Linked DNA regions of Mus musculus. The protein of the gene in region 2 interacts with the protein of the main gene of each other region in a pairwise test. Links are inferred from orthologs where the notes say so. Each region holds a gene or a part of one and is shown on either strand. Other genes may lie near its edges.

Region 1 (7,351 bases), on a different chromosome or scaffold from region 2:
AGACAGAGGAATGGATCTCTGAGAGTTCAAGGCCAGCTAGTGCTACACCAAAGTACAGGCTTTGAGTACAAAGATGCAGGAGAGGGGAAGTCACAGCTCTGTGGCACAAGGCTTCCCCAGCAGGCTCAAAGCCCTTGCTCCCAACACCTCATACATAAAAATCCTGCAAGAAGATGTAGAGTCACGGGCTGCAGCTCAATCCCACTGAAGGAAAAGTGAACAGAAACTCAAAACCCACTTCCTTCTCCCAGCAGGAGGGGCAGGCATCACTCTTACAAAGCAAGTGGGCAGCAGGACCCTGAGGACACACCGGCAGATGGCAGGAGATGTAGGTGAGCAGTAGTTTGCCTAGCATGCACAATGCCCTGTGTTCCATCCCCAGCACCTCACTAACCAAATGCAGGCTTTGAACACACCTGCAGTCAGTCAGATGGGACAGGAGAAAAGGACCCTTTGCCACCTTCCTAATTAGACAGGGGCTCTCTCTGACCATCAAGTCCCAGGGCTCTCCCAGTCTCTGCCCCCTACAAAGGTGTAGGGGCCTCCATAGCCATACACAGTTTTTAAGAGGGTGTTGGGGATTCAAACTTAGGTCCTAGTTCTTGTGCTGCACAGAGTTGTCCACTGACCTCTGCACATACTGTGTGCTACATACATTCACACATATCATACACAGGATGACTTTGACGATGATGATGGCTATAATACACATTCTAAAAAAGAAAAAGCAAACCCCACAAGCACAACTGAAACAGTTAAGACCATAGTTCCTTCAAAGTATAGCACTACTCATGAAAGCACACATCTGCAATCCCAGATTTTTGGAGATAGAGGCAGGAGGATTAGAAGTTCAGTGAAACTTAGCTATGTAGAATTTTAAGGCTAGCCTGGGCGCATGAGATTCTATCCCAAAAGAATTAAAATTGCTGCTTTTAGGGAAAATCACACAAAGCACTCTGCATGCACACTCTCAGTCAAGTGCCAACAGCTCTCAGTGCCAACTCAGTCAGCTCTAGAGGCAGCCACCACCACGCTGCAGTCCTGCCCCTGTTCTACCACCAGTGTGCAGGGATGCCAAGGGACACATAGGAAGCTTTTCCAGAAACCTGACACCCACGGCACTGTTTCAGTCTGCCCATCAGGGGGGACAAGTCCTGTAAGGCAGGTCTTTACATCACTTTATAAGTCAGTGGAGGTTAAAAAAAAAAAAACAAAAAACACCCCAACCTGAGCCCAAGTGAACCCCCACCCCCAAACCCAGAAGATGCAGAAGAGATGCTCTATAGAAAAACTACAAAACTTGGGCTAGAGATATGGCTCAGGGGTTAAGAACACTTACTGCTCTTCCAAAGGTCCTTGAGTTCAAATCCCAGCAACCATATGGTTGCTCATAACCATTTGATGAGCACTTCTGGTGTGTCTGAAGACAGCTACAGTGTACTCATATAAGTAAATAAATCTTAAAAACAAAACAAAAACAAAAAAACCACTACAAAACTTTAGAGCTGGAGGGATCTAGGGTTTCTATAATGACAAATGGCTTCATTTCTTTGAGGTGAAAGCTGAGACTCCAGTAATTTGGCCAGCATCTTCCCACTTCTGGCTCTAACTCACTTCTGGCTTACCCCGATTCCTTTCACTCTCAGCTCAGGCCTACCTACGCCCTGCAGCCCCAGGCCTCCCTGTCACGCTCCTAGGTCATCCTGGGCCCCAAGGTTGGCTGCTACGTTTTGCCTGTGGGACTTCTGCCATTCTCCAGAAACACACCATCAGAAAGCCCAGAACATGGACAGACAGACAGATGGACACAGATACACACACACAGCCAACCCCGACAGCTCTGTCACACAGCTGCCTGCAGAACACAGTAACTTTAGCAGAATTGATAAGGAGAGCTAAACAAGAGGTATGGCCATGTCTCCAGGCAGAAGGCTGGGGAGGAAAGACAGGTACACAACCCAGAAGGGCCCAGCCAACAACAGTTTGCTGTGCTGCTTACAGCCTTGCGTGGCTCACCCTGAGACTGTTCCTCACACGTGAAAAAGGAAGAGTGTGTCCAAGCCAGGTGGCCAGAGGCATTCCATGGGATAATATCAGAGAAGCCTACATGCTTCCCAGGACCCCTAGATTTAACCCATTAAATGCCAGTCCTGCCACTGTAGGTATATTCTAAGTACCTATCAGTCACGTGTGGCTGTGGTAGCCACAGAAAGCCCTCCTGCACTAGGCTATCTCCATTTCCCTCTCCTTCTCCCAAATCCGGCTTCATCCATTATTCCTTATAATCCCTAGTTCACTGCCTACAGTAGTGCATGTCACACCTTCCAGTGCTCACCTGTCTGGACATCGACACCTCCTGCTTGCAGCTTCAACCCCTCCAGGTACACATCCGAACTCGTCTCCTTCAGTACCTTCCCCTTTCCTTCAGGACTCCCCCGCTGACTTCAGTCCCTCTTCCCCCTACCGGAAGCAGTGTGTCTTATACTTGGATAGCAGACACCCTGGTGAGGCGCTAAGGTGAGTACCACCTATAAGCAAACAGATAAAAATCTCACCTAAAAAAAGTTCCCGTGTCAGTGCCCCAAGCTCGAAGCCTGGGCTTTCAGCTCAGTCAAGCTCTAGAGAGCTACTGAACCACACGGCCTGGGTCCAAGTCATTCCTACCTTTTGTGGTCTTTTGGCCTACAAAAAAAAGTCGCTCCACCACAGCTAAAGTGACCACTGGAAAAAATATGTAAGCCAGGACTAGGGACATGGCTCAGTCACCAGTCAGTCTGACCTGTGAACATAAGGCCTGGGTGTGATCCTCAGAACTCCTCAACCTTTAAGAGTCTGCTTCCCTGTTACCTCTTGCATCCCCTTCCCTCACCCCAGCTACTCTCTAGAACCCCCAAGCCCCAGCTGCCTTGAAGGCACTCTTAAGTACCACCAACTTGGCTAATCCCCACCTCCCAACCCTTACCAGCTGGAGCTGTGTCATCTGCCTCCAGCACCCAGCACTGGGCCGCAGAGGGTATCCACTCCCTCTTTAAAAATGCCTGGCCCTTGCCTTTCACAATCATCAGGCCATGTTCTTTCTTGGGGCTTTACCTCAGGGTACCAGACTGCCGGTGTAGCAAGCAAGTCAAGGACTGTTTATCAATGACAATAGCCCGAGGAAAGGATAATCCTTGTTCTAGAGATTTCCAGGACTGAAAATGATAAGATGTGTACCATTTGGCCCCAAACCTCCACCTCAGGGAAGACAGCCACCCTTAAATCAGGATCCCAGAAAGATGGACCTTTAGTTTACCTTCGTCCCATCAATTAGACCACTGTAATCAAGCTTTACTTTCCTGGACTGGTTTTGGTGGGCTGTGTGTGGTAACAGAAACTACCACACATTGAGGGCACAATCTAAAAGAGCTTTGACTGCCCAACTCCCGTTACTCCCAGCGCTGCCATTCTCCACAATGAGTCGGTCCCACACCAGCCTCCACTGCACGGTGAAAACAAACGCACATGCGAAGCCCCACATCCCACCTCCTCTTTGGTTATGCGTGGTCCTCTGTTGACCTATCAGATGGTGCTACTTTTATCCCTATTTACAATTCACAAACCTCAAGAACACTCTAGTAGAAGCTGAAAAGCTCTGTGGACCTCAAGATAGAGAGCAGGAGGCAGGAGATCCTAGGAAGGAAGGTCTCTAGGGATAGGTGGGTCTGAAGGCCTCTCCACCCAAGAAAGGATGGGAGTCTATGGGCCTGGAGACCCGAAGCTTTGGAGTTGGACCAGAGGGGATCTGTTGGACTTCTGGAGAAGATATAACGGTCTCGGGCCCTGAAGCCGCCGAGGTCTGTGTGCTGAGTCTGAGGGAAATCTGGAGGATGGTGAGGTTTTCTAGGTGTGGAAGGTAATCAGGTCCACAGGTGGCCGCGGACCCAGGCAGCCCAGGGGATGTCGGAGGCAGGGTCCCCAGCGCATCAGAGGGCACTAGGGTCCTGGGCACCCTAGGCGGGTTTTGAGGGCTGGGGAGACGCGAGGCGCTGGCACCCAGCCCCGACCCGCCGCCTCACCTGCCGTGCCACGGAGACACCAGTGTCGCTCGCGCTCTCGCCGCCTCCCACCCGGGTCGCGCCCCTTCGGCTGGGTGGAGCCGCCGGGCGCTGCGCCGGATGGCGCTGCGCGTGCACCACGCCGAGCCTGCCCAGCCGAATCCGCAGCGCTCTCTCAAGGCCTTCCCCCCGCGCGCGCGCACTGCCCGCGCGAACGTTCCGCCCTGAAATCAACGGCCCCGCGGCAACGGGAAGCCCCGCCCGAAGGGGCGTGGCCACGACGCGTCCCGCCCCCAAGAGAAGCTACGATTGGACCCACGGACTGTGCTGTCGTGTCCACGATGAGCCTGGTCTTAAGAGACTGAATGTCTCGCGGCCAGTCTTCCCAGCGCTGTTTTGTCTTCAGTTTCCCCATCTGCACGCCTGGACAGCCCCGCGGAAACGCAGAAGGCGTTGAGCTCGGCCGGAACCACCCTTGGGCAACCACTTCCAGCCGGGCTCACTCCATCTACCTCAAGCCACAGGCTGTACAGCCTGTGCCCTTCCCCAGCCTAGCATGCTTCACGTCCTCCCCGCAGTGACCGACTCCCTTACCACGTGTCAGAGTAGGCGTCTGGCCCTTCCGATGTGCCTCTTGGACACGTCTAGCTTGGGCTTAGATCCAGGGACTAATGAGCATATGTACCCAGGTTCAGCACCTGTTAATCGGGTGAACTCAGTGCCCACCCCGAACGTTCGAGAGTACACGTGGGTGGGCTCTGCGCTGGAGCACTCAGCATGAGGACCTTTAAAAGTCAATGACACCTCTCCTTTCTCTAAATAAGGCTGGGATGGATCAAAGCCTATTTCCTCTTCCTCATCTTCCCAGGTCGGCCTGCCCAGGCAAGTTATTTGGACTTCCTCTACCTCTGGCTCCTTTTTTTCTACATGGGTTTGCTGTAAGCATCCCTTCAGCCCCATAAGAAAAATGCATGTGTAATAAAACCTGGGTTTTTGTTCTTTTCTTTTTGAGACAGGGTTTTATGTGGCTTTGGCTGTCCTAGAACTAGCGCTGTAGAACAGGCTGGCCTCAAGCTCACAGAGTTCCACCTACTCTGTGGGTGTAAGGTATACAAAATCACTACCTGGCCAGCTTGAAATTTGTGGCACCAGAGCCCAGAACAGTGGTTTGAACACCTGAGTCTGGGTACCTACTAAGTAGCTGGCCTTTGAGAAAATGTTTTTTTCAGTCCTCAGGACATCTCCCATGAGGATGGCACCCCATTTACTGCAATTAACAGCAGGAGAGGAGGAAGCCCAGAGAAGTTGTATTGGCAATACCAACCATGCATTGGCTTCAAAGGTCTGGGCTTCCCACTACTAGACTGAACAATTTACATGTGATGCAATTTAGTTCACAAGCTCCTGCTTCCATAAAGGGTCCTAAGACTTGAACCTGTGACACTGGAGAAGTTCCCGGGTTACAGGAAGGAAGTTGTTCAAGGAGACTGTAGGCTAGGAGCTGAGGAGTTAGAACCCACAGCACACCACCCACACACTGGATGCCCTCCAAGATCCAGTGTGGCAGAGCCTCAGTAATCCCAACTCTCCATCTAAGGTCAACACAGATCGGAAGTCTCTGCCCATTCAGCCAAGCAGCTTTACAAGGGCAAACCCACAGAAGGGACAAAAGGGACACCTTAGAAACAATGCCCTCCTCTGTATCCAAGAGAGACAGATGAACACTTTCTACCCAGCCTGGCAGTACTAGGATCACCCTGATTTACAGGGAGTCTCAGAAAACTGCTTTAATCCCTGTCCACTGTGTTCATTCTGAGTAGATAATGTAGCGCCCGCCAGTGTGTTCCTGCAGTGCGTCATTCAGGTAGGCTGAACAAATTCATGAATAGGTGTGTGCACAAAATATGTTTCATGGCATGAGTTCAACAGACCAGATTCCTTTCTTTGTTATACCAAAGGTGGCCTTGGAGGCAAGCAGCAGTGGCTACCCCAGGAGATGTCAGTCTGTTTGAAATGCAAGTGCCTGTGGAAGTCTGCGAGAGTAATGATTACAAAGCACAAACTATGTGCTAAACTTCCCTGTGACACCTCTTCCTTCACTCTCACAGCAACCCTGTGCAGTAAGGATTGTGACTTTTTTCCCCCACAGATTCAGAAAACAGAGTCAGGAATGGGGAGATGTCTCCTTGTGGGTAAAGCATTTGCCATGCAGTCATGAAGACCTGAGTTTGAATCCCCAGAGCCCACCTAAAAGTCAGGCATGGTGGCACATCCACAGTGAGATGAGAGGCAAAGACCCGAGGAATTCCAGAAGCTCCAAAGCCAGCGAGTCTGGCTCATGACATTGTGAACAACATAAGACGGACCCTGACCCAAACCCACAGAGAAGTTTGTCCTCAGATCTCCACAGTAATGCCATGGATACACACACACACACACACACACACACACACACACACACAGGGACTTAACTGGTCAGTCAAGCTGCTTCAGTGTGCTGCTGTCTGGTTTGCTACAGAAAGAACTTTGCACAACCAGAAAGGAAAGAACTGCCAGACTCAGTGAGAAATGCTAGGGTGGTAGAAAAGACACAACAGGTGTCCCACGACAACATATTGTCACCCCCTCACACCCACACACGCCCACCAGAGATGAAGCTAATGCTTTATTTATTTATTTATTTATTTTTGGTTTTTCGAGACAGGGTTTCTCTGTATAGCTCTGGCTGTCCTGGAACTCACTTTGTAGACCAGGCTGGCTTTGAACTCAGAAATCTGCCTGCCTCTGCCTCCCAAGTGCTGGGATTAAAGGCCTGTGTTTCGTTCAGCCAGTGGCTCACATGCCTAGGTTCTAGTCTGGAAAGGCATCTTGGAAACCTGGAAGAGAAGAGGGGGGCTAGGCGGCATGTATGCGCGCGCATGCGGGGGGGGGGGGGACCAAGACAGGCAGTCTGATCAAGGTTCAATTTTATTATTTCTGACACTCAGTTATGAAGCAGGGGAAGGGGCCCGATTCCCGCCAAATCATCTTGGAGTAAGGTTGCAGGTGAACACGTGATAGCTCCGGAACAGCTAGGTGGCAGGCAGCAGCAGTGGGAGTGGCAGGACGATAGGGCAGCAAGCTCTGCCCCAGGCTCTCTAACACTGAAACCTGAGCAAACTGGTTTCAGGCTAGGGAGGGGAGGTTACAGGCCTGCACCACCACTGCCGGGCTGAAGCTGGTGCTTTATAATAAAATTGGAATGCCTCCAGCAAACAGACCCTGCATCAGTGTACAGGGGGGCAAACAACAGATCTTGAGTCACTACCGCAGCCTAT
Region 2 (7,503 bases):
TGTGCTCTGCCTCTCTGAGAACCCAGCCTAGTCCCCACACTCCTGCCCTACTTATCTGGACAATGGCATCTGGTCCCCACAACACAGAATTCCAGTTCTGAAGCCTTTTCTATTCAGTGTGCTATCCCACCATTGGCCTCAGTTTCCTCCTGTGTAAAATGAAGGTACCTGTTGCACACAACACTGCAGGAAATGGTAGCAACAGCTGGGGAGGGGGCGGTGCTTGAATTGTGACTCAGTGCCCAGCTTTCCCCAGCATTCAGACTTCTTCCCTCGGGGCTAGACCATCTGCCCCACCCACTTGAGTCTCTATAGCCCAGGAGGATGCTGGGACCCAGTTTGCAGGTGGGGCTTCTGTGATGAATACAGTTCAGCTTCTGGGTGGGGTCCCTGGGCCAGGGTGACATTATTCATCTCCTATCCACACCCTACCTGCCCAAGTCCAGCTGGACCCAACTAGTCTGTGGAAAAGATACCAAAAATTTTGGGCCAATCCAGCTTCCAATCCTTCCTGTCCCTGAAGCCAGGATTCAGAGGGGACTCTGGGGAGGCTGGAAGCAAGATCAGCCCAAGCGCAACAATATATCACTTGTTCTGGAGAGTGGAAAAATGGGGTTTGTGACATGCTGGGATAGTTCACAGTGAAACACTCATGTTTTAGACACGAGGTGCCCCAAATGGGAATTAGATAGTCCTTGTTAAATGTTTGATCATAACCAAGATGCTGCCTCAACCGGTTTCCTCTTCCACAATATGGGAAGGACCTTCCCTGGCTAGGCTACCTCTCCAGTCATCAGTGCTCACCCACACGTGTAGGAAAGACATCCTCATCATTGATGAGACCCTCGATCCAGTCCATGAGCAATGCCATATAGCGGGGTGCTGAGAGCTTGGCGGGCCTTCGGTACTGACGCTCGTCCTGCCAGCGGTACTCGTAGCGGGGCCCACCAGCCATGACTGGGCAGCTGCTCTCACTGCAGTGCTCAGCCATGGTGCCATAGATGAGGTTGATACGGTTGAAGAAGTCCACCACATGCACAGCGATCCAGTCATCGATGCTCTCCCCAGGCGGCAGCCTCACCACACTCCGAAGGTCCAGGCCGGACTTGAGTGAAGCTTGTGCCTTCTTATATAGCTCAAAGCGCTGTGTGCCAGGCTCGAAGCGCTTCCGGGGCCGGAAAGTCTTGTCCTTCGCAAACACCTGTTTCAGACACAGTGCCATGGCCAGGCGGGTGCAGCTGGATCTCTCGGCACAGGGACTTGAAGATGACCTGCCAGAGACAGGGGCAGGGGAAGTAGTGGTCAGGGCCTTAGAAAGTGGGTTTTGACTTCCCAACACATCATTTTTCTCTAAGCTGTCAGCCCGGGGACAGTTTCTTTACCTCCATGAAACTCTCATCCCCAGCAGCGTCAAATCCTTTGTGGTCTACTTTAGCCGCACACCCCACCCCTGAAGCAGCGCCACAAGCCTTTCTTTCTGCTTCCTTTCCTCCCTGCTTTCTTGAAATCTTGCAGAGGGTGTGCCCTGGGCTCCAAACCGGTGCTTACAGGACTTACTGTTGAGCTTTACAGAAGTGACAGAGGGTTTTGCAGGCCCCAGACAAGGTATCCTCTGGAAGCCCCATAGGCCATCTGTGTAGTGAGAGAGCCTGGCTGCGCTGTACTTGAGAGGGGGGTGGACTTTGAGTTCCTCTGGGATATCCCGAAGTCCATCTGGCCACCGGGGATTCCCAGGGAACAGAAGGGACTTTTCTACCAAAAATGTCTTTTCCGTTTTCTTTACACTGAAAGAGGAAAGGGCCCTCACAAGGCCAGCTGAGTGGCCTTAAGTGTGGCTGCAGGCTCTGCAGGAAGAGGAGGGTGGCAGGCCCAGAACAGTGTTACTTCCTCTGACAGACACTAGAGTTCCTTTCCTCAAAGCTAACCCCTCCTTCAATTCCCAAACAGTATGAGCCGCTGACCTTCCCCTTGCACCCAACACTCCATGGATTTTCAGCATGCCTACTATGTATGCACCTAGCACTGGGGGCTGGGGTAGAACAGCCAGACTCACCCTACCTGTCCTTCTGCATGTTTGCGTTACCTCTTAGAATAGAAGGATCCCAGACTCAGCACAGACTTCAGGGAGCATCCACCAGAGTCTCCCAAAGTCCTGGGATCTTGTCCCTGCTTCAAAACTAGCTTGCTTGCATCACCATGGATTTAGTCCATGCGAATCCTTGAACACCCTACAGGTAGGTGTCTGAGCATCTCAGGCATTTCATCTCGCGCACCAATATACATGAGCTATTGGAGGACGCAGATCCAGGCAATGGCCAAGACTGCAACAGCCACAGACTGAACACGGACCCTGAACACAGACTTATAAACTAAGCTCAAGTTCCATGCTAAATTCTGGCTTGCCCCCAGCCCTGGTTAGTCTGAGCCCTGAGCCTCACACTGAATGAGGCTTGAGACAGTGGCAGAGAAAGCTTATCCTTACCTCTGACTGCCTCTGACTCAACTTTGAAGCAAGTTTCCTTTTTCATTGATAACTGCTGGGGCAGGACTGGGGAAGAAAGGGAGGGGATAAGGCATTTCTGAGGCCTCCGCTTTCCTTTGGCCTCCCCATTACTGATTGATTGTTACAGATTCTCTCACTCTGCCTTTCAATTCCACAGCCTACCTTTCCTGACCCACCGGCCTCCAGCAGCCACCCTGGGATTCTTCTTGATCCCTAAACATGTCCTCACTGTCCTGCCTGTGTGTCTTTTGCTGGTCAGTTTCTGTTTTCTCTTTCTATCTGACCGAATGATCCCTTCTTTGGCAGCTTCCTCCAGATCCCAACCTTGTGTGTGGCTTCTCTGACTGCTTGTTCCTACCCCTCTCCGTCAGGACTTAAGTTGGTGGCTAGGCTTTAGCTTAGACTCTAGAGTCTTAGAGTTGGCTGGGGAGATGTCTCAGTGGGTAAACTTGCCTGAGTTTGATTCTTGGGACCAACATGGTGGAAGGAGAGCACTCCCACAAACTGTCTCTGACCTCCACATGTGCACTGTAATGCGCACATAAATGTGTGTGTTCCCGAGCTCATACGTGCATGCATGAGCAAGTGTGTGGACACACATAAATAAATGTAATTAAGTTTTGAAAGTAAATCTTGCCTCTCAATAAATGAAAAGTGAGGGGGAAAGAACTGATATCAGCTCTGGGCCTCCATCTCTGCATGCCCATCTTCATATACCCACAGCACCACACACACACACACACACACACACACACACACACACATACACACACACGTTGGGATAGCTGAGAGGTCAAGTGGTACGTCCCACATGAACAGATGGCGAAACTGAGGCCTAGGAGGAGGATTTGAGGAGCCTGAATTTGCACAGCAAGTTAGAAGTAGGGGACTGGTATAAAAAGGGACTCAGCCTATGACAAGGTACAAAGTGTCCCTTTCCTGCTGTCTGGCCACTGGCCTGATATAGATAATTGTGAAGGAAGGGAGTAGAGAGGCCCCACCTCCTTAGTATAGAACTTTAGGCCCCAGGACTTTTCCTAGAAAGAGTAAACTTGGAGGTGAGTACGGAAGGTAAGCTAAGAGGGCATCCCGTCTGTTAGCACTATCCTCTCCCAGCCTCACACGGAGCCTCTCTTCCTCTTCCCTGTGGACCCCCCACTTTAATTACTAGGTAGGTGGTCAGTGGTTTGCTTACTCCGTGACCAAGCATTTAATCTTCCTAGATGAAGAGCACAGGCTGACTGACACTGCCTGTTTGTCTTACCTCGTCCCCTGCCAGGGACACACCTGCTCCTTCCTTAGTCTGGCTTAGAATCAGCCAGAAGATGGTCCCAGTTTGAACTCAGAATCTAGCCTAGCACGCCCTGCGGGACAAGATCTAAGTTTGAGATTCTCAGAGAAAGAGGGAGCGACAGACGCAGCGCTGTCCAGCCAGACCCGCCCCTACCTCCCGCGAGCTCCTAAGAACCTCCCCTTAGCTTCAGCTGTTAGGGCCAAACAGGTCCTAGGACCCAGAGGAGCCAGCCTGACATTTCCGCTCCTGAAGACACGCCCCCCACCACCGCCAGCTACCGCCACCCCCACCCCGGACTTCGGACACTGAGAGCCTCGGACCCTGGGCTGAGGACTGTGGCCAGCCTGCTTTTGGGCCGGAGTCGCTTCCAGAAGGTGCCACGCGAGGACCAAGAAGAACTAAAAGTGGAAGCAAGACTGGGCCCTGGGGGGCGCGGAGACGCGGCGCTCACTCACCCGCTCCGCCTGAGTGGACAGCTCCGGGTCTCTGTCCCTGCGGCCACACCGCAACGCGCCGGTCGTCCTCCGGCCTGTGATCCCGCCGTGCGGGTCTCAGCGTCTACCCACCAGTCTGATCTGGGCCGCGGCCGCCGTCCCGCCGCCAGTGCTCGAGGAGACGCCAGCTCCGCCCCAGGCTCAGCCACGCCGCGGCCACGGGGCGGGGAGGGGCGGGGAAAGGGACTCCCCCGTCCCAGGATACTTACTCTTCTCTTTAGCCTTTCCGGGAAGTGGGAAGTCCGATCGGGCTCGCTGTCTCCCCGAGGGCAAAGGACTAACTGAGGAGCCGCCCCAAAGGACCGCCTGGATCTTCCCTAAGGAGATAGCCTCAGATTCATAGGCTGTAGAATGGGAACAAGTTTAGCTTCCGCCTGAAGCAGAAAGAAAAACCGCTGTGGTTTGAATGGTTTCCTAGCCCTCCTGCAGTTATCTGAGCTTCACTTGTCTTTGAATTCAATAAAAGTTCCTAGCAGCCAATGTGTTCAGCTTCAGTCCACTGCCATACAGAGCAACTCAAAACCCACCACTGGAGGCTGCTGCTGGTGGATGGCGCATGTCTTTAATTTCAACACTAGCGAGGTAGAGGCAGGCAAATCTTTGAGTTCCAGGCTGCTAGCCAGCCAGGCTAGCCAGGGCTAGGTGGTAAGATGGTCTCTCTCTCTCTTAAAAACAAAACAAAACAAAACAAAACAAAACAAAACAAAACAAAACACCAAAACCAAAACCAAACCAAACCAAACCAAAACAACCAAACACTTAAATGAATAGCACACGTATGGGAGCCGTGGACTGGGTCAGTCCAGACAGAAACATTCCCAAAGAATGTTCAAAGAAGACCTCGCCTTCCTTGCACCTGGTTCTGGTTCTGTAGACTCTCACACCATCCAAAGTTACCCATTTCCTATCTTCCTTTGTCTCTGTTGTTCTTTAGAATGGCTTCTCTCCCAGCCTGTTCCATCTGGCTCCAAACCTTTGCATACTTGATCTACACTACCCACTCTTCTACCTAGATTCCTCCCCTGGAAACAGGCTGCTATCCCACATCAGTGCTCAATGCATACCATGGCTTGGCCCCAGGAACCTGTCTGCAGGATCTGCCTAGGGTGAGGAGGTTGAAGACAGAGTTCTACTAGGTGAGTGCTATGGTTAACCTTCATTGTTAGCTTCACTAGCTTCGGAACTACCAAGGAGTCGCCTCTCTGGGAGTGTGTATTCCCAAGGGGTTGTTTAACTGAGGAGGACTGGCTCTCCTTGAATGTGTCTCCTGCCATCCTGAACTAAACTAACAGAAAGGTGGGTGAGGGTGGGGGAGCCAATAGAGCACAGGTGTCCATCCACCTCCATTTCTTCACCACTGTTCCAGACTCTTGCTGTCACAGCTTAGAGCCTGTCTTGACATACTTTCCCTACCATGGTGGACTGCACTCTCAAACTGTGAGCCAAAACAAAAAGCTTTTCCTTAGTATTTTGTTACAGCATAAAAAGTAAGTACCACAGAAGGCCAAGGCAGGCAGCTGGGCTGCCGAAGACATCCCGGAGGACATGAAAGCGAGAAGGAGTGACTGCGGAGACATTGGAGCCTGAGGCTTTATACTGAGACACAACTGCTCCATTGGATTCCCTGGCTCTGGGTCTGCTTTCTCAACCACATGAGAACACACTTAGATCCTTAAGAATTTTAGGTTAGGGGTTGGATAGATGGCTCAGCCGTTAAGAGCACTGACTGCTCTTCCAGAGGTCCTGAGTTCAATTCCCAGCAACCACATGGTGGCTCAAAACCATCTGACACCCTTTTCTGGTGTGTTTGGAAAGAGCAATGGTGTACTCATATACATAAAGTAAATAAATCCTCTTTAAAAAAGAATTTTAGGTTAGAACTGAGGACTCATCTTTGACTAGGGGCTTCTCTCTATCTTCCTCTCTTTCTCTCTTCCTTTCTTTTAAATTTATTTATGTATGAGTGCTCTGTTGCATGTACACATACATGCAAGCCAGAAGAGGGCATCAGATCCCTTTATAGATGGTTGTGAGCCACCATGTGGGTACTGGGAATTGAACTCAGGACCTGTGGAAGAACAGTCAGTGCCCTTAACCACTAAGCCCTCTCTCCAGCCCCGTAAGGACTTATTTCTTCTCCAGCATAAAATTTCTTATAAACTTTTACATGTTGATGGAATTCACATTTGACATACTGTCAATTTGATATAATTATCAGAGCATTTTTGTTGAGTGTGACAGTGTGCTGAGATTAAGATGATGAATCAGTCACTGATTTCAGGTGCTGACAGATCAGCAGCTGCAACACAACATATGCAGGTAACCATGTCAGAGCTTAGTCGTTCAGAGATAGAAGTGGGGTACATAATGCACTGATGGTCCAATGCTAGGCAAGGGTGGGGATATTCACAGGCAACCCAGAGCACCCTGTTTTGAGGAGACTTTAACAGTGGCACTGCATATAGATGTAACTAGTTGTAGGGAAGCCATGTACAGACTATACCACCAATGAGATAGCAAGGACTGCAGATAGCTGTCAGCAACCCTAAGCTGAGGTACACTGGGAATAGGAGATATGAGAAGGCTATAGCTAGCTCTGTGGCCTAAGGTGGAGACCATACCCAGATCATAGCAGTCAAGAGAAAAACTACTGGTCAATAAGGGTCTCATTTCCCTCTCTTCTCTGGCCAAGTTCCCCGTAGCTAAGTCCCATTAAGAGCCAAGGACAAGGGAACCTGTTGCCACAGCCCAGAGATCAGCCCCCTAGATGCGGAGCTGGGAGGACAGTGTTGGGTAAGGGATGATGTCACAGAGGAAATGACTTAGAAACTGCTCAAGCTCCTCTTATCATTTTGTGCTAAATATTTTACAAATGCCATTTGTAATTGCTTCTCCCTAACTCTTGGATGATTTAGAAGTGAGACTTTAGTTTCTCATCCTAGGAAGAGTTATGTTTTTCTTGTTCACTGCTCTTTACATTGCCTTGTGGTCAGAGATCTTGGTCTATGAGATTCTTTGGAATTTGATACAACTTCCTCTGTGGCTTTGCACATGGTCATTTTCTGTGCCTCTGAGCTAGGTTTTATAGAAAAGGCAGGAATTTAGTGAAGAATGAAGAGACTCTCTGTGGGCTATGTTGGAGATCCATTCTGAAGGAATTTTTGAAGTTCCAGGGTCATGTGCAGACTCCTGGATGTCTGTAGGGCAGGTGA
Region 3 (7,345 bases), on a different chromosome or scaffold from region 2:
AATGAGGGCTGGATGTGTTGACACACACCTTTAATCCCAGCATGCAGGGAGGTCAGGCTAGGATACACAATTCCAGGACAGCCAGGGCTACATAGAGAAATCCTAGGGGCTAGGGGAAAGGAAGTCTTAGAACTATCCATATGAACTGGAGGTAGAGGCAAGGTGATCATGAATTCAAACTCAGTCTGCCCCAAAGTGAGGCTGTGTCTCAAAGGAAAGAGAAGTGTGAGGAAAGGAGGGAGTAAACCCTTCCGGCCTACAGGGTCTCATTACATTACAGAGCCCTATTGGCTGCTCTAGAGCTGAGCTCCTGGTGCCTTGAGTTTTAGACAGCACTGGGTTTAAGAGAATGTTGACAGCATGCCCAGGTCAAACTCAGCCCTTCCTGAGTTTCAGAACTCACATACAGTATTTTATTTTTACACTGTCTCTCAGGTATATACCTGAAGATGACCTTCATATTTTCACTTCCCATGAGCTTTATATGTATGACCACACACACATGCATCACATTTGCGCCTGCTGGATGCCCTGGCAACTGGAATTATGGATGGCTATGAGCTACCATGTGATGACAACCAGACCTCACCTTGTGAAGAGCAACAAGCACTCTTAACCACCGAGCCATCTCTTCAGCAGCTTCCATCTCATTTTTAAAATGAGGAAGCTAATAATACAGGACACTATGAAACTGAATTACATTTATAGTGAGAAAAACTCAAAATGCCCAGGCTTATGGGCCTCAGTCTTGGAAAGTATGAATGGGGAAATAATCTGCTCTCCATTCAAGAATAATACCATTACAAAGTGGCTTCAAAATGGATGACACAAAGACATTCTGAGGTCAAACCATGCTACCCAAGATTCTGTTGTAGTAAGATAAAAATGTAAACGCTGGCACTTATGAACGAGGGACCAGGAAATAAACCAATCTTGGGCGTGGGGAGTGCTGCTCAGCAGTGAGAGCTTGGGTCTACCCAGGGTAAGGTACCAGATCAGCTACCCAACACTAGTTAAACCCTCACTGGGGCCTGGTGGGCCAGGAGTCCAAACATTGAGAAATAGGTAAGAGGGTCAAAGCAGGCATGAGGCCAACCAGGGGACAAGACACTGTCTTCACGCTTGTCTAAGAGTAAGCTATAATAAAATAAGCATGATACAAAATAACGGTTAGAGGACCAGGACCCAAGAATGTTCTTACAGAATGTTACACTGCCTCCTAAAGGTAACCAAAGGCTACAGGGCAACAACAACCACACAACCCCCACCCCATCAAATCCTGCTAGGAACCGGTCACTGTTAACAAGGGAAAGAGACTTTACAGGTGTTTCTTGGAAGAATAAGCTATTCCTCAAACAAAGGTTAGTCACAAGTGAAGATAAATGATGAAGTGGTAACACCTAAAATTCAACCAAGGAAACCAATACATAACTCCTCAAGTTTAAGGCGTTAACCCAAGTCTTAAAAAGTGGGATGGCTCCTACCTCACACAAAACCACCATGTCGTCGGGAAATGGAAAGGGTAGTTCAGAGTCAAGTTGACAAAAGGTTTTTCCCTAGAACTGAGCTCTGGAGACCTAGGTACACGCCTGCAGGATACACCCATTTACTAGGGTGGACCATAAGATTATCCACCTAATCCCCTCTGAGTTATGGATCACTGAGCAGCTAATTTTTAGTCCCACTCATGTTTGCCTACAGAACAGAATATTCTAAATACTAGATTTAAAAACTCATTCCAATTAAAAAAATCTAAAATACTTACATACCAATACTTGGAAAATTCAGCCTTCCATTTTTCACAAGCCACAGCTTCTATCATCTTACTAAATACTTCCAGGTATTTATTACTTAACTCTTAAAGACTGAAAAGCCTTAACCCTTTAATGACTGAAATGCTTCTTCTATAAAAGGAAACAAATTTACTTTCCTGGATAATGTAAATGAGTCTGATACAGCTAAAACAAAAGTGTCAGGCCTATCAAACTTCCAGGACAAACTCCAAAGGTAGTGATAAAGAAAACTGAGATCAGAACCTGCATTTGCTCAAAGCTCACTTTTTCCCCCATTACAAAAGTCTTTATAAGCACTAGCCTCAGGCTGTCATCCAGGGTTTAAGGCAATTTACTAAATGGGCTTTACATCTTAAAAGTAAGTGACCTTCAGAAGGTGTGGTAGCACACACCTTTAATCCCAGCACTCCAGAGGCAGGCAGATCGGTGAGTTTGAAACCAGCCTGGTCTATATACTTAAGAGCTCCAAGGTAGCCAGAGACCCTAGAGAGGAGAGAAAGAAGGGGGGGGCGGATAGGGGAGAGACCTTTCTAAGATTTAGGAAATTTTGTGCAAATAAAAACTCAACCCAAACAAGCTCCATTTCCCTGCCTTCTGGGGGAAAAAAAAAAAACCCAACCAAACAAAATAACCCATGCTTTTAAAACTAAAGCCTCTCTAAGCTGGGTTACTTGTGTGACTAATAAACTATAGTGTAAGTGTGCTGAGCAGCAGGATGGCTCCCATAAACACCATGGTGAGGTACTAATACCTGAGTGTCGGTCAGCAACACAAAAGAATCAATTCCACCCACCACCACAGGTTGTCTGAGTCATAAAAAGGAAGACTGACCAACAGCTATTTGACTTGAAAAGGGCTATCAAAACGGTCAGGCTCCTGTAAAAAGGGGGGAGGGGGACTAAAGCTCATAGGTAGGCTTGCTCTGTAACTAGGTTTCCAGTGAGCAAATGAAGCCCAAATCACTTCACATTAAACATTTCCAGAGCTAAGATTAACACCCTTCATATAAGCTATTCACGACCATGTTTTTGAAAAGGATAATACACTCAGAAGAGAAATATCAGTAAGTAACTAGCTAAAGTGTACAATGATTATACCAAACAAGTTTAACAGAGACGGACATCGTAAAATTATTTACCCTACTGAACTAACTTCCTGTACATTTGCATAAGCCTCTCATATTTCACATTATCTCGACCTGACACGAGTTTAAGAGTGGACAGCCTGTAGCACCGAAGCTTAAGGAAACTGTTTAATCCATTCTTCAGGCTACTTCTAGTACTTTAGTGTCTACGAACACAAGAAGGGACAGTTCTAAAATCTCCTCTGACTTAAAAAAAAAAATCCTTTTTGACCGAAAGTCAATCAAAGGTTAAAATCTCCAACCTCTCCCAGCCTCTCTCTCGGATTCAATCTCACAGGCAAACCCTAACTCGAAAAAGAAGATAAACCCAGCGATATCATTAGAAAACTGTCCTTCTACCCCTCCTCCCCCAATAGATCCACAACTTTGGAAAACTTTGTTTCCAGGCTTTCTAAACCCCTACGCATAAGCTCTCGCGAACCTCTCTCGATCGGAACGAAGTGAGTCTTCCCCCGGAGGATCTTAATTTCCCCCCTTCTTTACTTTAGTTTTAGTCTTCCCCACTGATAAACCTTTCCCAAAAGATGTGGTCGAAAAGCAAAGGCAGGATCTACGGTACCTGGGCGTTGGCTTCGTGGAGTTTGTGTTCGGTGGAGACGTGGTGCCTTAGGAGCAGGGTTTTCTTGTAGTTGCGGGTCCCTCGCGAAAGCTCATCATGCCCCACCTGGGTAAGGTCCACGCCGCCCCCATCCTCGGGGATCTTTTGGCACCATCCGCAGAACATAAGGCCGGTATCCTTGGAGTACCGCAGCCAAGGGAAGTCCTTGAGCCAAGAGGTCTGGAAGGAGCACTGGAGCTTCTGCAAGAGGGACTTGGGCCTCGCGAGCGGGAAGTGCTGGACAGTCTCTCCTTCGCCAGCTCCCACACCGCTGCCCTCCGCTTCGTCCCCACCATCGCCGCCCGACCGCCTGCTGCTGCTGCAGCTGCCGCCTTCCGCCCCACTGCCATCGCCCGGGCTCGCCCCCTCCTCCTCGGTGCTGTAGCTCAGGGACGCCCCGTCCTGCATCCACTCCTTCCCCTCCAGCGCGTCCAGCTCCGGATCCACGGCCGCCGGCCCTCGCCCATTGAAATGCCTGAGGGGCCACGCCGAGGTCTCCGGGCGGCCGCGGCTGCTGCCATTGTTGCCGAGACCCCCGCCGCCTCCCCCGCGGAAGGCCAGAGTCCGACGGTTCCTTTCCGCTAGCAGGGGGCCCCCCGCGCCGCCGCCCAGCAAGGAGGGGCCGCCCGTGTCCTGAGGGAGCAGCAGCAACTCCTTGACGTCCTCGGCGGCGGCCGCGCCGGCGGCGGCCTCCGAGTCCTGGGGCTCCAGGCCCTCCAATTCCATTTCCTCGTCGGCCCCGCGCCCATTCGGCTGCTGCGGCGCGGGCGGCGCGGGCAGTCGCGGTTGCGGCTGCGGAGGCCAAGAAGAGGCCTCCCCGCCAGCGTTATTGTTCGTGGGGCCGCCGCCGCCGGTGACCAACCCGCCTCCTCGGAACGCCAGCGTCCTGCGGTTCATCTCACTGAACGACATGGCGCGCGCCGCGGTCACCGCCGCCGCCGCCGCCGCCCGGTGCCTCGGCTCGCGCCCGGGCTCCGGCCGCGTCCCGCGCGCTCGCCGCGGCTCCCCCAACGCTTCGCCCCCGCCCCCGCCCCCGGCGCTGCGCTGCGCCGCTCTGCGCTGCGCTCCCGCCGGCCCGGCCTCACCCTCCCGCCGGCTCGCGCTCGCTCCCGGGCCGCCGCACGCGTCTACTGCCGCCGCCGTCCCAGCCGCGTCCTCTCCACCCGCGCCCCGCCGCGCTCCGGGCAGCGTCCCGCGCGGAGCGGTGGGCGGGCAGCGGAGCGGCGAGCCGGGCGCGTGCGGCCTTCGAAGTTGAGGAGGAGTGCGGTTGCCCCTCCGCTGCCCCGCTTCAGCGCTGCGCGCACACACCGGCCCGCCAACAGATCTCCGTCCTCGGGGGGAGTCGTGTCGCCGCCGCCGGCTGCCGAGGCGCGGACGCGAGAGGCGCGCTAAGCCGCCAGGCTCCGCCACATAGCGAGCCGACAATAAAGCCGGCGGAGCGTTTCCGTCCGACCAGGCCCTGGCGGAGGTCGAATGGCAAATGAACAACGGACCGTGCGCCCACAATGCACCGGGGTAGCAGTAACCGCTGGAGGGGGAGAGGGTGGGGGCCGGCCGGGGGAGGGGGCGGGCTGGGCCGGGCTGGGCTGGGCCGGGGGCGCCCGGGGACCGGGAAAGGGGCCGGCCGCTCGGGCCCGCGGGCGGGGGTGCGGCCACGGGAAGGAAGCGGGCGGGGCACGGGCTGGGGTCTCGGGGCGGGGCCGGCTCGGCCAGGACAAACAGCTGGCGGGTGTCAGGGGCCGGCTCGCCGCGGCGCGCCCGTGCGCACGGTCCCCGGCTCTCGCCACGACTTCACCTGGGACTCCAGGAGTAAGTGCGGTGGGAGCGCGCCCGGCCCTGTCATCTGCCGGGGGAGGGGTGGGTGGCCGTGCCCGAGGAAGTGAACTTATTTTGTTCCTGCACAAAAGACTGGACCAGGCGGTGCCTCCCTCGCGAGGACACCTCCTTGGGCTCCTTGTGTACGCCGGGCAGCACCTCTGGCCCCGGGCGACGATCGTTTCGCAGAAAATGCACCGCCCCGAGTGTCTTATTGCTGTGATGAAATGGAAATTTAAATAAAAGGTCGAACACGTGCGTTCAGTGGGAAGTATTGACATGGGTGTTACATCACCAGCAGCCAATCAGATATCTCCAGTCGTGTTTATACTTCTACAACCACCTTGTGAGTATTACAGTATGTCATAGCGTTATAAATATTAGGCAGGGTTTTCCCCATGAACGGGGAGGAGTCAGCTGCTGCGGGCGCCGCGTGCGGCCGCGAAGGGAGTGCAGCTCCGAAGACAGGGTGTGTAGATGAGAATTAATTTTTAGGATTTTGAGAAAAGCTCTTGGCATCGCGTATGGAATTTAGAGTGATTACATCGGTCTAAGCTGGAAATGAACCTCCCTAAGTTATATTAGTTTACTTTTTTGTTTTTGTTTTTCAGAAAGAGGCCTTGCCAATTAAGAACCCTTAAACTCACCCTCCCCATTAACTATGCTCTATTTGGAAAACATTAGCACGTTTACACTCATTAATTCACAAAGTGAGGTCGATTTATCTGTTATTTATTGGGAGCGATTTTTGAAACAGGGTCAAGGCCAGCCTAGTCTACATTTTAGGTCAGCCAGGGATACACACAAAGATCCTGCCTCAGTATCTCGAGTTCTGGTATTACAGGTGTGAACCACCATGTTGCACAAGCTTAATTTAAAAATTCGTATGTTTGAGCCTATTTCAGGCTTTCTTTCCTGTTTTTTTTCCCCCTGCCTTTCTTAATTTTTTGTTTTGTTTTGTTTTGTTTTTGTTTTTCGAGTCAGGGTTTCTCTGTGTAGCCCTGGCTGTCTTGGAACTCACTCTGTAGACCAGGCTGGCCTCGAACTCAGAAATCCACCTGCCTCTGCCTCCCAAGTGCTGGGATTAAAGGCGTGTGCCACCACACCCGGCTAATTTTCTTTCTTTCTTTCTTTCTTTCTTTCTTTCTTTCTTTCTTTCTTTCTTTCTTTCTTTCTTTCTTTTTTTTTTTTTAAGACTATGTAGCCCTAGCTGTCCTGGAACTCACTAGGCAAGAGTGGCTTTGAACCCACAGACATCCACCCACCTGGAGTTTCCCTTTTGGGGTGGGAGTGGAGTGAAGAGAGCAGTTGATAAATGGTGGTCTCTCATCTTTCAAGTTTTAAAATTCAGATTGATGGCTGTTGTGTCTGAGGACTCAAGAGTTAAGTTCCCAGAGCCTGTGTATGGCGACTGCCTGTGTAAGTGTATGGAGGCTCAGAGCCTGTAATAGCAGCAACAGGGGATTTGCTCAGGTACCAGGCACACATGGTGCACAGACAGACATACCTGCAGGAACAATGCCCATGCACACAAGTTTTTAAAGCACATTTTCTCAGTGTTATAAATTAATATTTGCTAACACTTTTTTTTGAGACAGCATTATTATGTAGCCTGCTGGCCTTGAACTCTCCAGCCTGGGTCTGTCACCATGCCCAACTTACCTCAATGGAACTTTTGATTTGTTTATACAGGTCTCACTCTATGTCCCTGGTTGTCCTAGAAAGCACTGTATAGATGAGGCTACCTGTAATTCACAGCAATCCTGCCTTAGTCCAGGCTAGGATTAAAGGTGAGAGCCCCATGCCCAGTTTCCTTAACACTTCTGATTGAACTAAGCCCAAGACGAGTGTTGAGCTGTGTCGATTTAGATTTTTCAAAGCCACTTTGACTTAATTCGCCTTAATTTTGGTACCTGGTGTAATGAAGTTTTGTATATGAAATAAAATTGATGAATTCTAAAGTGAGTTTGAGTTTACTTGTGTAAACTTGTCACC

The links.
Region 1: the proteins of Mob3c (region 2) and Fam118a interact in binary tests that used the Homo sapiens proteins (3 or more experiments, as listed by UniProt). The link is inferred for Mus musculus from reciprocal best matches to the Homo sapiens genes MOB3C and FAM118A.
Region 3: the proteins of Mob3c (region 2) and Zbtb10 interact in binary tests that used the Homo sapiens proteins (3 or more experiments, as listed by UniProt). The link is inferred for Mus musculus from reciprocal best matches to the Homo sapiens genes MOB3C and ZBTB10.

What each region holds. Positions count from the first base shown.
Region 1 is NC_000081.6:85,033,949-85,041,299, reverse strand, and holds the start of Fam118a (protein FAM118A), read right to left. Parts: upstream 4,239-7,351; 5' UTR 4,056-4,238; intron 2,529-4,055; exon of another isoform or gene 2,348-2,528; coding exon of another isoform or gene 2,336-2,347; intron 1-2,335.
Region 2 is NC_000070.6:115,824,991-115,832,493, reverse strand, and holds the start of Mob3c (MOB kinase activator 3C), read right to left. Parts: upstream 4,415-7,503; 5' UTR 4,253-4,414; intron 3,868-4,252; exon of another isoform or gene 3,768-3,867; intron 2,549-3,767; exon of another isoform or gene 2,483-2,548; intron 1,272-2,482; 5' UTR 1,223-1,271; coding exon 805-1,222; intron 150-804; coding exon of another isoform or gene 139-149; exon of another isoform or gene 1-138. UniProt on the Homo sapiens protein: May regulate the activity of kinases.
Region 3 is NC_000069.6:9,248,232-9,255,576, reverse strand, and holds the start of Zbtb10 (zinc finger and BTB domain-containing protein 10), read right to left. Parts: upstream 5,011-7,345; 5' UTR 4,448-5,010; coding exon 3,497-4,447; intron 1-3,496. UniProt on the Homo sapiens protein: May be involved in transcriptional regulation.